2 linked regions of the Oryctolagus cuniculus genome follow. The protein of the gene in region 2 interacts with the protein of the main gene of each other region in a pairwise test. Links are inferred from orthologs where the notes say so. Each region holds a gene or a part of one and is shown on either strand. Other genes may lie near its edges. The genes, in order: ARMC8 and CTNNA1.

The links.
Region 1: the proteins of CTNNA1 (region 2) and ARMC8 interact in a two-hybrid assay, tested with the Homo sapiens proteins (2 studies listed by BioGRID and IntAct). The link is inferred for Oryctolagus cuniculus from reciprocal best matches to the Homo sapiens genes CTNNA1 and ARMC8.

The regions. Positions count from the first base shown.
Region 1 is NC_091435.1:143,528,810-143,532,723, forward strand, and holds the start of ARMC8 (armadillo repeat-containing protein 8), read right to left. Parts: upstream 2,375-3,914; 5' UTR 2,104-2,374; coding exon 2,059-2,103; intron 1-2,058. UniProt on the Homo sapiens protein: Component of the CTLH E3 ubiquitin-protein ligase complex that selectively accepts ubiquitin from UBE2H and mediates ubiquitination and subsequent proteasomal degradation of the transcription factor HBP1.
Region 2 is NC_091437.1:26,683,159-26,686,212, forward strand, and holds the end of CTNNA1 (catenin alpha-1), read left to right. Parts: intron 1-544; coding exon 545-679; intron 680-1,262; coding exon 1,263-1,550; 3' UTR 1,551-2,330; downstream 2,331-3,054. UniProt on the Homo sapiens protein: Associates with the cytoplasmic domain of a variety of cadherins. The association of catenins to cadherins produces a complex which is linked to the actin filament network, and which seems to be of primary importance for cadherins cell-adhesion properties.

The sequences.
Region 1 (3,914 bases), on a different chromosome or scaffold from region 2:
TGGGGTGCAGGGCCCAAGGACTTGGGCCATCCTCCACTGCACTCCCTGGCCACAGCAGAGAGCTGGCCTGGAAGAGGGGCAACCGGGACGGAATCCGGCGCCCTGACCGGGACTAGAACCCGGTGTGCCGGCGCCGCAAGGCAGAGGATTAGCCTAGTGAGCCACAGCGCCGGCCTGCACATTGTATTTTAAAAAGTGCTGCCCAGGGTAGTATTTGAAAAGGTACAGACTTCTCTGATTAGTAAGATCAGAAAGTTTAGATAGTTTAAATCACTTACCCAAAGCTCTGATTTCTCAAGGCTCTAGAGATGAAGAGTGGACAGACCAGATTCTGAAACTCTAAAAGAGCCCTTTTATAAAAATATGGCCCTATTGAGACGGGGCAGAAGCAAATCTTAACTATTAGTTGGAAATACTCTTCAAGCGGTTTTTGAATAAAAGTAAACAGGAAATATTTACTGAGGAAGTGAAACAAATTAAAAATCCCAACTGTATGCACTATACAAGTTGATCATTTACATAAAGAAGCTTCACCTGGCTCCTGGCTTCGCTAGGTGCAGCACAGGCCATAGCGGCCATTTGGGGAGTGAACCAACGTAAGGAAGACCTTTCTCTCTGTCTCTCTCTCTCTCTCTCTCTCACTGTCTATAACTCTACCTGTCAAATAAATAAGTAAATAAATAAAAAGAAGAAAAACTACATAAAGAAGCTTCATGTGAACTGAAGAAGTACTAATCTAAAGGAGATAATTAAAGGGGAATTGAGAACAGTCAAAATATTCACAGGTATTACAGTCTAGGTGCAGCAATGGGCTAACAGTATTTCCCTAGCTGTAGTGTAAATTAAAAACAAAAACAAAAACAAAAACCTGCTAAAACGGATCAGCCTCCAAAACTTTGACAGCCTCCAAAATTAACTGAAAAGTCTCCAAACACTGAAGAATCATTGTACTGTCAACTGCAGCCTTTTCGAAGATGCAGTGTGCCGCATGGCTCTAACCCGGACTCAAGCTAATGTTTTCCCAAAGGTGAGTGTGTTTGTGGGTGCAGTCTGGGAAAAGAAATCAGGTCTGCAGGAAAGTGACAGAGTGCCACTCAACCTTCCTCCACTGTGAAAGACGGGCAGTCTTTGCTTGCTTGTTTCCCACAGCGGATGAACCACTGGTGACCTGTCCGTTCTGAGTTGGACCACTGAAACATGTTGCAAAATGCTTCGAGGTTATCTACCAAAGACTGTCACTCCTAGTCCTGGTTCTTTCAAGAACAGCCTGTAACATAGTGAAAGATAAAAGTTATCTGTTTTACTTCAGAAAAAAAAAATGCGACTTCCTGGCATGTCGATGCGTTCCCTTCTCTCAAAAATGGGGAAATCTTATCTCCTTCAACGTTTGACTCCCCTTAAAGGAGAAAGGAATACAAGCGCAGGGAACTTAGTCTCAGAGCCCTCGCCTCCAGAGCCGAGCGGAGAAAGGGAGCTTAAATAACCACGGAACGCTAGCAAGAGTTGCAGCTAATAGAAAACCCACAACTGCCAAGATGCGAGCAGCCCCAGCAGGTGCCCGGGTGTGGGACGCGATAAAAAGCCACACCGACCTGGCCCGAGACTGTGGGGCCCTAAAAGCCTGCACCTCTCCCGCCCAAAGCCCCAGGGAGCCGAGTAGGCGCTCGTCCCCAGGCCGGCGGCAAACCCAGCGCCTCGCAGGGCAGAGCGCTCGGCCCCACAGAAGCCACACCGCTAAAACGAGCGTCCAGCGATACGCCTGCCGAAGCTCCGGCCGCGCCGCTGAGCCAGCTGCCCGCACTCCCCAGCAGCCCACTTGCCGGCCGCTGTCCAGGGAACGTGCGCTGGAGCGAGCTCCCAGAGTTGGAGACGTCTCCGGCTCGGCCGGGGTCCTGTCGACCCCATCCGCCCACCCCTCCGTCACTCCCCGGCCGAAGGCTGAGCAGGAGGCCACCCCAGGGGGTGGTGCCCGGGATCCACACCACGCTCGGAAGAATGCTACGGGCTGGGCTGGGCCGGGACTCCCGGGCGGGCGGCCGCAGCGGCTCACTCACTCACCGAGAGGACGCTCATGCGGATTGGGGTCTCTAACAGGCACGCCATCTTGAGCCTTCCCACCCGGCTGCTGCCGGCGCCGGCACGGGGGCCGGCACTTTCGACAGCCAACTGTTGGCCGCCAAAGGCACCTCTGCCGAAAGTCAGGCAAGGTACACAAGACTGGGCCACGCTCTGGACGCCGCTCGAGCACGGGAAGGACCCGCACAAAGGAGAGCAAAGGGGAGCGCGCCACGGCCCTCCTTGCGAATCGTCCTCTCAGAAACACCAGCTACTCTCCTTCTGGGTTAGAGGTGGGAGCCGGCGGCACTTCCCGCATGCGCAGGGAAGACCCGTTGGCCCCACCTGCCTCGCGCGGTGGGCGGGGCCTCGGGGGCGGAGTCTCGCTCTGCCGCTACAGGCTCCACCGACTGATAAATTGCAGTCCAGGGTTACGAGTGTTTCTGTTCCGAGAAGCTAGTAGGAGGAACCACGCTCATAGTTTGAAGTTCACGTGCACATTCATTATCCCTCTCTTTGCAACAAACTCCCCGCGCGGTTATTATCTCTACAGGCGGAGGAGGCGCGATCTCAGAACCAAATCTTCTGCCACCGAGAGTAATTGTTTCACACTGCAGCGCACCAAAGTGTGACCTGCTTTAACGTTGCGTGCTCGACCCATTTATTCTGGGGTAGTGTTAAGAATAGGTACTCCAGACCAGACCGCCTGGGTGTAGTCCTTGCCTTGGCTTATCAGCTGGCTGCATACCTCGGCAAGTTAACCATGTGTTTCGGTTGAATGTAGAAAGCATTATGCAGCATTATGTGCTAACATTTTCCCAGTCTCTAGGTGGGGAAACAATGGGGCAACTATCTTAGTATTTCATCCTGATACGCTCTGATAAGTGAAGCCAAATAAACACATGCTTCTAGTTATATGTTCTGATTAATTCTGCTCATATTCCAGTTGTGTGTGTGTGTGCGCACAACACCGACCTTGACTTGATGGGCAGGTTTCACCTTGGTGTTGCTCTCTGCCAGTGAGGTTTTCACAGGATGGTTTCAATGATCCTGTTACATTACTCTCTTCCTTCCATTTCTTTAGCCATTCTATAATGCAGGCTGTTCCTTCCTCCCCCACCCCATTAGAGCCAGAGTTCTACAATGGGTCTTGTGGCTGATAGCTTCTCTTCCACTTTGTTCCTCACTGTTTTGCTATCTTTCTCCTGTACTTGGATTCTAAATTTGTGGTCGCACATATCACCCTTGTTTAGGAGGAGTCTGTGTTACTTAGCACACTGTTGAGTTCCTGGGAGGCAGGAATTTCATTTTAGATATTCCTCTACTACCATAGTATTTCCCAAGCTTCATTAATCTGCAGACCACTTATGCTATTGTTGGGTGTTATCATTCACTCGGTATTTTTCTTTAAAGCCAATGTCAACTCATAAAAAAGATTTTATACTCATCCTCAATGAGAATACTCATGAAATCAAATGGGTTGTGCTCCTAATTTTTAATCTAGGGAACATTAACATAGATAACTACAAAAAAAGTTGAAATGTCCATCCATGCACTACCTAAAATCATGTCACATACTGTATACACAATGGGGTGGAGCTGAATCCTTACACACAGCATCCCAGCGGTACCTATCACATTTTCAGTTGACATTTATATGATACAATCATAGTTGTTTTATGCACATGCCATCCATTAATAAAAGCAATACATCTTCCAGGAAGACCCTCCCCTGAATATAGGTTTAGGTGACCCCCTCCCCATGCCTTCATGCATCCCTTTGTTCTTACCACTAACATAGCACCCCCAACTGTATACTGTAATTTGCAGGGATTTTGTGTGTATGTGTGTGATTGTTT
Region 2 (3,054 bases):
CACTTTGGTTGGCTTACCATCTTCCCCTTTGTCTACGGCGAGCGTCTCCTTTTCTCGTGGCCAGATGTCGTTTGCCACGGCTTTCTCTGGCCACAGGCTCCCTGCTGCTGCAGAGTTAGTGAGCAGAGGCTGCTGGAGGCGGGAGGGGACTTCAGAAGGTGTTGTGGGAAAGAAATGTAACTAGAAGATGAGCCGATTTGGTGCTTCTCCTCCCGCCCCCACAAAATGCCATGCATACAGAGAGTCTTCAGAGTGTTTGTGGAAAACACATATGAAAAGATGGTACATGTGTTTTTTGGGGGGAGGGGGAGTGGCGCAGTGAACCAGAATAAACTTGTTTCTCCACAAACATTCTGAAAGGCGCCAGCATGCCTCATGTGAGCACGGAGAGACCAGGGCTGCTGACAGGTTCACCTCCCTGCTCTTGGCTCTAGCAGGGCGTGGAAGTGGGCTGGTGCCTCACTGCCCTTAAGCAGTAGCGTGGAGTGGGGGCGGTGGGGGGCCCGGGCCTGGCGTGCTTGGTCCTGAGCTCCCTCTCCCACAGTGCCCAGACTCGGCCTGCAAGCAGGACCTGCTGGCCTACCTGCAGCGCATCGCCCTCTACTGCCACCAGCTCAACATCTGCAGCAAGGTCAAGGCCGAGGTGCAGAACCTCGGCGGAGAGCTCGTCGTCTCTGGGGTGAGTGATCTCTAAGTGAGGAAGGCCCCGGGGGAGCTGCTGACGCCGGGTGCTGTACAGAAGCCCCAGTCCCGTGGCGGCCGCAAGCTGCACAGCGCCCCCACTCCGTGAGAGGGGTAAAGCCTGTTTGGAAATTGCAAGATAGACACAGGCTTTTTGCTCAGCTCCCCCATGCCCCGCCCTCAGGCCTGCACTGCTGTGTACCCCGTAGGAGAGGAGTCCCATGGCAGCCCCCACCGTACCATTCACTCCTCGGTGACACCGTGCCTGCCCTTGTCCATTCAGAGTGCATGTCTCTAAGTGAGAGGGGGAGATCCCTGTGCTGACTGACAGCTTGGGGGTGGTTCTGGGTGATGGCCCGACTCTGTCCGTCCCAGTCTGTAGTGGTGACCTCTCTCGTCAGTCCCAGGTCCCCAGCGGGTAGGAGGGTTTTCATCACTGCTGCCTTCCTCCTCCAGGGGAGCCGCCGTGCCGGGGTGGCTGGACTCCCTGGGTGAGGGCTGCTGCTCAAGCCCTGGCCTGGGAGAGGACGCTGTGGTCAGGTCCCGCGCGTCCGCTCACCGCCGCCCTCTGTGCCTCACAGGTGGACAGCGCCATGTCCCTGATCCAGGCAGCCAAGAATCTGATGAATGCCGTGGTGCAGACGGTGAAGGCCTCCTACGTGGCCTCCACCAAGTACCAGAAGTCTCAGGGAATGGCGTCCCTGAACCTTCCCGCTGTGTCCTGGAAGATGAAGGCCCCCGAGAAAAAGCCTTTGGTGAAGAGAGAGAAGCAGGATGAGACGCAGACCAAGATTAAACGGGCGTCACAGAAGAAGCACGTGAACCCCGTGCAGGCCCTCAGCGAGTTCAAAGCCATGGACAGCATCTAAGTTCAAAGCCAGGGCCAGCCACCCCCAGCCCTCAGAGCTCCTGGGGCTCGGTCACTAGCGGGTTTGCTAAGTAGACACTGACATTAGATTCCACAGGGATGTAGGCACACTTTGAACCCTGCCAGTTCCTTGCAAAGACATATTTGTGTTTCAGCTGGGCAAAAGTGCTTTTAGAATTCAGGAGCATATTTCTAGCTATATTTTTATATGCTTAAATTTTAAAAATTCCATAACCAAAGAGACATTAACTTGTTAGTGATGCTCTTGACCAAATGCTGATGCCCACTGTTGGACAAAAAGAATCCGTGACTCAGCCTTGGGTCAGGCGAGAGTGGCTCCCGGCAGTCCCAGGTACAAGAGGACCAACCTGGGCATCTTAGGAAGCAGTCCCTGGGCAAGGAAAGTTCTCGGGAGGTCTCCAGGGGGACAGACCCTCAGAAACTGAGTAACCGAGTCTCTGTGACACGGGAGTTTCCATGCATGGTTACAGTTACTAACGTACTCTGCTGTGGGGCTTCAGAAAGCTGCTTTTCCAGCTAGCAGGTTGCGGTGCTGTCATGGACCATGCTCCTGCCCTTTCTCCCAGCTGCAGGCTCCTCACTTGGCTCACTTCTGATCATCAGTGTTCCCTGTCTTGGGCAGTAATTTAGTCTCTACCCTATTTGTGATTACTACAGCAATCACTCAAGCTGCAAGGTCTAATTTTACTGTCTTATTTAAATTTTATGAATTTGAATTTTTTACACTAACATTCCCCAATAAAGTCCACTTTCAAACCAAGACCAACTGGCCAAAGCTGTGTTCTCTGCCTTTGAGAGGAGCAGTGAGTCTGCCGACATCTCTGCCCCGAGGGACACCAGGGCCGGCTCCTGCCAGCCCTCATCGGGGATCGTGGGATCCGTCTGTCGAGTCAGAACGCTGGGAGTCCCGCCCGGCAGAGCTGCCTTTGAAATGAGCCTCCGGAGCGGAGCGTCTCCCTGCCACACACACCCCCATCCCCCTGGGGCCCGCTCATCTCGCTGAACGATCCTCTTCTGGGACTCCTGGCTCCAGAGAGCCCTCACCTCTCTCTGGTTGCTGAGCCTTGGCTGTCTCCACTCTTCGGACCTCAGCCACACCGCCGGCTTCCAGTCCCATCTCAATGCTGCCTTCACCCTGGAACTTGGTGCTTAACCTGATGGCCTTAAGGTTCCACTTGGTTGTGGGAGAGTCTCTCAGACTTGACCCATCCAAACTGCACTCGCCACCCCTGCCCCCACCACCCCCAGGACACACCAAAGCCTTCTTCCCTGCTCTCTTCCTCCCCTTAACCCCACCCCCTGCTGGCACCACCCGGCTGCCATTGCTCAGGGCAGATGCCTAAAGTCAACTGAAGTGCACACGGGGTCTACTGCTTATGGAGTCTGCGCTGTCGCCTGGCCTGAGCAGCATGCTGTCATCACCGTGTGAGAGATCACCCTGCCACTTAACAGCTCAAACAAAAACATTACCTCCCAATCTCGGA